2 linked regions of the Nothobranchius furzeri genome follow. The main gene of each other region encodes a partner of the protein of the gene in region 2 in a complex. Links are inferred from orthologs where the notes say so. Each region holds a gene or a part of one and is shown on either strand. Other genes may lie near its edges.

What was found.
Region 1: the proteins of ube2o (region 2) and nap1l1 are in contact, whole or in part, in a cryo-EM structure (PDB 7UN6), measured with the Homo sapiens proteins. The link is inferred for Nothobranchius furzeri from reciprocal best matches to the Homo sapiens genes UBE2O and NAP1L1. Residues at the interface, in NP_071349.3 of Homo sapiens: Ser225, Asn226, Val282, Lys283, Pro284, Val285, Lys289, Ser290, Lys291, Phe292, Arg293; in NP_001317160.1 of Homo sapiens: Arg333, Arg337, Thr343, Gly344, Glu345, Ala346, Ile347, Asp349.

The regions. Positions count from the first base shown.
Region 1 is NC_091741.1:58,529,458-58,533,274, reverse strand, and holds part of nap1l1 (nucleosome assembly protein 1-like 1), read right to left. Parts: intron 3,175-3,817; coding exon 3,082-3,174; intron 2,865-3,081; coding exon 2,736-2,864; intron 2,561-2,735; coding exon 2,489-2,560; intron 2,410-2,488; coding exon 2,270-2,409; intron 2,181-2,269; coding exon 2,035-2,180; intron 1,956-2,034; coding exon 1,936-1,955; intron 1,630-1,935; coding exon 1,507-1,629; intron 1-1,506. UniProt on the Homo sapiens protein: Histone chaperone that plays a role in the nuclear import of H2A-H2B and nucleosome assembly.
Region 2 is NC_091747.1:74,405,598-74,409,414, forward strand, and holds part of ube2o ((E3-independent) E2 ubiquitin-conjugating enzyme), read right to left. Parts: intron 3,570-3,817; coding exon 3,510-3,569; intron 3,380-3,509; coding exon 3,269-3,379; intron 3,162-3,268; coding exon 3,064-3,161; intron 2,988-3,063; coding exon 2,924-2,987; intron 2,572-2,923; coding exon 2,428-2,571; intron 2,287-2,427; coding exon 2,177-2,286; intron 2,084-2,176; coding exon 1,933-2,083; intron 819-1,932; coding exon 761-818; intron 563-760; coding exon 403-562; intron 237-402; coding exon 81-236; intron 1-80. UniProt on the Homo sapiens protein: E2/E3 hybrid ubiquitin-protein ligase that displays both E2 and E3 ligase activities and mediates monoubiquitination of target proteins. Negatively regulates TRAF6-mediated NF-kappa-B activation independently of its E2 activity.

The sequences.
Region 1 (3,817 bases), on a different chromosome or scaffold from region 2:
CAGTCCCTTTACCAGAGGAGCGTGAGTTTGGTCCGCATAGCCGGTAGTAAGTCGGACCTGTTCCCAGTGAGGGTTGGACTCCGCCAGGACTGCCCTTTGTCACCAGTTCTGTTCATCACTTTTATGGACAGAATTTCTAGACGCAGCCGTGGTGTGGAGTGTGTCGAGTTTGGTGGCAGGAGAATCTCGTCTCTGCTTTTTGCGGATGATGTGGTCCTCCTAGCTTCATCCAGCTCTGACCTTCAGCTCTTGCTGGGTAGGTTCGCGGCCGAATGTGAAGCGGCTGGGATGAGGATCAGCACCTCCAAATCTGAGACCATGGTTCTCGACCGGAAAAGGGTGGCTTGCCACCTCCGGGTCGGGGGAGGGGTCCTACCTCAAGTGGAGGAGTTTAAGTATCTCGGGGTCTTGTTCACGAGTGAGGGTAGGAGGGATCGGGAGATCGACAGGCGGATTGGTTCGGCGTCTGCAGTGATGCGGACGCTGAGCCAATCTGTCGTGGGGAAGAGGGAGCTGAGCCAGAAAGCCAGGCTCTCGATTTACCGGTCGATCTACGTCCCAATCCTCACCTATGGTCATGAGCTTTGGGTAATGACCGAAAGAACGAGATCGCGGATACAAGCGGCCGAAATGAGTTTCCTCCGTAGGGTGGCCGGGCTCAGCCTTAGAGATAGGGTGAGGAGCTCGGACATTCGGGAGGGACTCGGAGTAGAACCTCTGCTCCTCCGGATCGAAAGGAGCCAGTTGAGGTGGTTTGGGCATCTGGTCAGGATGCCTCCTGGACGCCTCCCCGGGGAGGTGTTTCGGGCATGTCCTGCCGGCAGAAGGCCCCCGGGTCGACCCAGGACACGTTGGAGAGGTTACATCTCCAATCTGGTCCGGGAACGCCTTGGGGTCCTGCCGGAGGAGCTGGTGGACAAGGCTGGGGAGAGGACGGCCTGGAGCTCCCTAGTTGGGATGCTGCCCCCGCGACCCGGACCCGGATAAGCGGAGGAAGACAAGACGAGAGGAGGCTATCGTTAGCTTGCCTTGTGTTGACTGTAGAGTTGTGGGTGATGGTCATGCAGATGTGTCATGAGATTTGAAGCGTTGCTGCCTTTCACAGACACTTTTTCTGCACGTGCTGCAAACAGGATAGCCGTCTTCTATCAACTGTCCCTCGGCATTCTTCAAATATCCAAAAAATGACCGTACTTCCCACTTTGTCTTCTTTGAGGGATAAAAAATGTCCTGAGTGCTGCCGTCTCCTCCTTTGACCATTATTTCAGCTTTAGCTTCAAGAAGGTTGTAAACAACAAAGTGCGCATGTGCCGCCGGCAACTTCAGCAGATGATACGGTGGCTGGTAAGGGTCACCGCGCCTACACCGCAGCCACGGTAATCCACCGAGATAATATAGTTTTTTTTTAAAAACAAGAATTATTATTGCCAACTTTTTTACCGGGGTTTACCGCTACACAGGTTACCGTGACAACCCTAAACCAGAGTTGAGATGTTCCTCACTCACATCGTCATCGTCATCCTCGATGGCCTCCCCCGTGAAGTACAGCACAGCTCTGGGTACGATGCGCTCCCGGATGAAGTGGCCGATTTCAAAGTCTGCTGTTAGAACCGCTTCAGAGTCCTCATCCTGAAGGCAAACACATCAGCCACCTTTTATTAATCACCTAACATCAAATGGTAACTATGCATTTGTAGAACAACCACAAACTGGTGATGAAGATCAGGTTTCCCTCCAACACAACCCACATGTTTGATCAGTCTCTGGATTTCACAAACTTAAAGATGATCAAGAGTTTTGATTTTAATAACCTTCCAATTAGGCAAAGTTAAACACTTGCAACCATAACCGGCGCTGCAGTCACACACTGATCACCTTTAGGGCTGAAAAACTCGTCACCAGTAAAGAAACTTTGCAATAAAAACACAAACTCACCAGTTCTCCATTTTCTGGGACTGTGAAGAGAGAAGATGGATCAAGTTATTAGTAGAAGAGTTATGAGTGTAAACATCAACAGGGATGCTCCACCCTTACCTTCCGGTGGGCTGAAGAAGTTAAAGAAGGAGTCGTTGGGGACAGTTTTGGTGACCGTCCTCACGGTCCCGCGACCCTTGTGCTTTTGTTTCTTCTTGATTGTTTTCAATGTGACGTTCTTTCCCTTTGTCCAGTCAATCGTGCAGCTGCAGGAAAACAAAAAGACAAGATGGCATCAGCTCATCTGCACTACAGAGAACAGCTTCACGACTCAACGGTGACGCAGTGGACTCACCCTGTGCAACTCATGATCTCTGGTCCATCAAAGGAGAACGGGTCGCTTTCGTCTGGTTCCGACCTCATTTTGTAGACTTTTGTTAACACTGTATTTGTAAAGAACTCATTGGGCTCAAAGTGGAACTCTAATGTGAAGCTCTGAATGAAAAACAAAAGCCCAGTTAAGCAGTTTGCTGTCCAACTACTGAAGTTTCGTCCATCTGAGGCAAAGACTCACCATCGGCTGTCCTGGATCGGAGAATTTTACTTTAATATCTTGTAAATGTTTTAGGATGGGTTCATCGTGTTCCTGGGGAGGGAACAAAGAAACGGGCAGCTTTAGAAGATTTTGGCTAACACGGACAGGCTTGTGCAAACTTCTGCCAGCAGGTGGAACCAGATCTGGTTTCTCTGTGTGAGGCGTCAGCAGCAGCTGGTGTCTGTGACAAGACTTTCTGTTCCTCTGCTGGAGTGGCTAAACCCACCTGCAGCATGTCGCTGAGCAGGTCCACATTTTTGAAAACCGTTGACCAGAACTCTGGGATGCCTTTGGGGTCTTCCTTCTCCTCGTCCTTCTTCTCTTCCTCCAACTTTGCCTTCTCCTTCATCTCATCCTGAGCGAGACAGAACATTTATTTTTAAAACGAGGCTTGGCCACATTTCACGTCGCAGTATGAAGGCGTGGACACATCAACGCTGCCTCCGTTAAAACAGTTTTATAAAAAAATTAAAAAGCTCTGCAAACATTCCAGGAATAACTCCTAAAGCTGCACAGAAGCTAAGTGAAGTAAAACAGTTCAGACAAAGCATGCAGGTATACGTCACCTGTACCTGCTTACTTACTGTCAGCTCTTCCTCCTCATCTGCCTTCCATTCACATTCCTCATCTGTGGGCTCATAAGCTGCTGACACGATCTCACTTCTCTGGAAGAGAAATCGGGTGAACATCATCAGGTTAGTGGAAACAAACGATGCGTGCATTTAAATATCATACAAACCATGTACAAAGCCAATCTAGGTACTCTGCCAACAAACATTCAGGGGATATTTGAAAAGAGAACTAGTAATTACGTGCTGAAAGAAACTGATGTGTTTACAAAAGCTAGATTTAGAACTAAAGTGAAGGAGTGGAATATATCTGTAATTGGTGTTAAATTATGGAATAACCTTAAAAGGGAAATTAAAAGACTGTCATTTAATATATTCAAAAAATGTATCAAATAGTGTACTAAATAATTATGAAAATGTAAATTAAATCAATGATCATGATCACACTGGAATTTAGAACAGGAAAAAGATTAAAATGAATGTGTATGTGTGTCTGACAAATGGTAATTATATATAAATTAATTATTTCTACTGGAAAAGGTTGCAGAAATTATAAGAAGTTTTTCTTTATTCTGCTCCTTTTCGTTCAAATTTGATTTTTTTGTTATGTATTTATGTTTATGTATTTAGCAGACGCTTTTGTCCAAAGCGACTTACAAGTGATAATCGGCATGTGGCCCTTGAGGCTAACAACAACAATAACAACAACTTGACATCAATCATTTTTATATGTTTTATT
Region 2 (3,817 bases):
ACCCGCGTCCGGGCGACAGAAGAGTTATTCTTCATGCTACCATGTTTTAAAAAGTGACTACTCTCCAAGAGGGAACGCACCGGTCTCCGGGCTTGAACTCGCGGGAGAACTTGGTCCTCTTCTTCTTGTGTTTCCTCTTGAGGTTGCGGATGGAGAGCGGGATGCTCTTTTTGCGGTTTGTTCCCAGACCGCCGCTCTGAGAGGATGCCGTGGAGCTGGCTGAGGACGTCAGAGAGCTGCAGAAAGATTCAGACACACACACACACACACACACATCGTTTTTCTTTATAACTGATGTTTAATGTTAGAAAAGGTCACACCCCCCACGTTAGGAGCTTCCTATGCTCAGATCTTTTAAACCAGACTAAACTGGACTCCATATTTAAAGTGGTCCCCACAGACCTGGTGTCGTCCGTGTCCTCTCCAGCCTCGTCATCGGCGTCCTGCTCCCCGTGCGCGGCATCACTGGTGTTCTGAGAGTCCGGCGGGTTCTGAGCGGGGCTCACCGGGCCGTTGGGCTGAGACGAGTCGGTCTGATCAGACTTGTGCTCTGCTGAATTTGCTTCATCCAGTTAAAATTTAAATTAGAAGGAAATACAAACACTAAAGTCAGCATAAGGACAGGAAACGTGTCTCTACTCTGCAGCTAAACTTTCACACACACCCCTCTGTAACGGCCGAGTGTGTGTGAGGAACGAGCTGCTGGTGTTAGGAGGACAAAACAAAAACTACAGCGCTTTCATGATCTGATTGTAAACACCTTCTGAGTCGGCGTTTTCTGTCTTCTTCCCAGAATCCTTCTTGAACATCCTTTTAAGCTGCAGAAAACACAAAGAGTAAATTAGCCTGTAAACCCAAACGGACCCAGGTCTCATTGTTAAATCATCGACGTGCTTCTGTTCCTAGGGATGGGTACCTTTGACATTTGAATCGATCCGGTACTAATTCCAGGTACCTAGGAATCGATACCGGTACTTAACGGTACCAATTTTAGATACTTTTGAGTGTTTATCATTTTAATTCTCTTTTATAATTAAATATATATTTTTCTCAATATATAACCATATTTGATAAATATCACGATAAATAACATTCAACTGTTTGTATTTTAACATTGTCCTTGTAGTTTTACAAGCTGATAATTAAACTGAAGCAAACATCTTTACTGTGAACTAAATTTACTGTGTATCTTCATTCCTTTTGCCGTCTTTTTTCATTTGATTTTTCCTACTGGGAAGTTAGAATTTCCGAGGAGAAAGCGAACGCACCATTAGCTGATAACAATGGTGGCAATGGAAGCTAACATATCAAGCTAACGTTATCTTAAACAGTTTATTTAACTGCTGGAGCAGATTAAAACGATGATGCCTCACACTTAGATCGTTGTCGCTGGTTTCATCTTCACCCAATCACCCGTCGCATTTAGTAAAGTGAAGCCAAACTTTAGAGCGCGTTCATGTTCTAGTCGAAAAATCGGAGTTCCGAGGAGAAAGCGAACGCACCATTAGTGAAACGGAAGCTAACATATCAAGCTAACGCTATCTTAAACATTTTATTTACCTACCGGAGCAGATTAAGATGAGGATGTCTCACTTAGATCGTTGTCGCTGGTTTCATCATCACCCAGTTACCCATCACATTTAGTGAAGTGGACCCAAGCGTTAGCGTGCGTTCTTTCTACCATGCTGCTCCGTTTACAACTGGCTCGCAGCGACCGATGACATAACGCTCTTGCGCATGCGCAGCTGTCTAGGCAAGTTCTCGTTATGAAGGACGGGTACCGAAACGAGGCACCGTTTGAAACGACGTGAATCGGTGCTCGGTCGGTACTATGGAATTCGGTCGGTACCTTAAAAAGTACCGAATTCGGTACCCAGACTGTTCCACATCTTGAACACAAATATTTAAAAATCTAAAATGTGTCAGCAGCACCTTTCTAGCAACGGGGTCCTCCAGCGGAACATGAGCACCCTCAGGTCCGTCGCAGATGATGCGCGTGACGTCGCCTTTGGCTGGAAAGATGTAGAGGGCCCTTTCCCCCAGCTGCCTCTGCGTGTGGTCGTAGTAGCCCAGACGTCTCACCCTAGAAGCAAACATCACATTCAGTAGGCTGGCCTGGACCCACAAAGGTCCGACTCTGATGAAGCGGATGCCGAATGAGACCGAGTGGACTGACCGCTGCAGGTCTTCCTGCGCGATGGTGGAGGGAGGTGGGTAAACACCATCTGAGCCTTTTGGGGAGTAGCTCTTTGTGATCCAGGTGACTTTTAACTCCACCACCTGCACCTGGGGGGGGGGGGGGGGGAGCACAAGTCTCCAAGTCAGCATTAAAAACATAAGAACCGGCGCTACCTGGAAGCTGAACAGGGAGGAAAAGGAGACGTATGTTAAAGTAAGAGTTGTCAGGTTACATGAGTGCGGATTTACCTCCTCCACCACAACTCTGAACTTGCATTTCCTGCTCAGGACGGGTTTGACCCCCGACAGCCACTGGACATTAGAGAAGACTTTGGCGGGACCGATCAGGACCTGGCCCGGGTAAAAACCGTACGCCTCGTCAAAGAACAGACCCTAAAGATAAAAACAGCACAGACACAACTCAGACCAGCTCTTCATGGTTCCACAGCAGAATAGTCAAGGATGGTTCTGAGCACCACTTTAACCTTAGACCGACATCTTAGATCCAAATATCTCCGGCTTTGTTCTCCCCTGAAGTGAAGAACAGGTCTCCTTCCAGGAAGAACCAACTAAACAACTTCTAACAAAAACTTATTTTTCGATGCTAAATGAAAAATTACAGTTTACACCACCATGAAGCTGAAAATAATCCGTCGTCCTAAATCAGGTTGCTCCCCACAGAGCAGAGAAAGTACTCCAAAGAGACCTGGACGTCAGTAGAAGACGGGAGCTTCAGGCTACGTACCGAGTCACTGACGTGTGGACAGACATCGTAAAGCTTGGCACCGTCTTCCACACTCATGGAGCACCTGGACAGGGGGCAGATGGTGAGTCTGACCTGGCATGCTCTAACGCTCTGACACACACACACACACACACACACACCTGGCTCCGTTAGACAGCTTGAGGATGATGTGATTGGTCAGGTCGTACACTTTGCCCAGCCAGAAGTCATAGGCTATGTAGTCTCCGTACATAAAAGACTAAAAACAAATAAAGATCATGTTAGTTTCACCAGGTTATTCATGAGCCTGCAGGACAGTGCGTGCGTGCGCGCACGTGCGTGTGTGTGTGCGTGCGTGTGTCTCACCCAGATGTGCTGCAGGTCTCTGCTGTTCACTGGATACAGAACACAGCTGGTTCCCACCAGCTTCACGGCACATTCAATGTCAATGTTGGTCACAATACCACACTGGTTGTCCTGAAATACAACACACACACACACACGCACGCACGCACACACAATGATCAATAGCAATGTGAATCGATGACATCATAGTGAAAGATTAGTGATTTTTCAGTAACATCAAAGACTGTCAGACTTCACTTACACACGAGTTGTTCCGTCTCACAATGTCTCTGATGACGATTGATCGATCTTCTAGTTTCAGCTGTGGAGAAAAGACAAAAAGGCGGAGAAGGTTGGTTAACTTCTCACTGATGTCATTTCCTTACAAACGAATCAGCCGAGGGTCTGAAGCTCAAACTGGACGTGGTTTCCTGGCAGCAGGAAGAGGACAGAAGCTACGGACATTAACCTGGCAACAACTCGGCTCCCAGTAGGAACCTAGTGCAATACTGCCGTCTCACTGAAGTGTGTGCGCCAGCACCGGGTAAGAAACAGGTCCGGCGCCGGGAC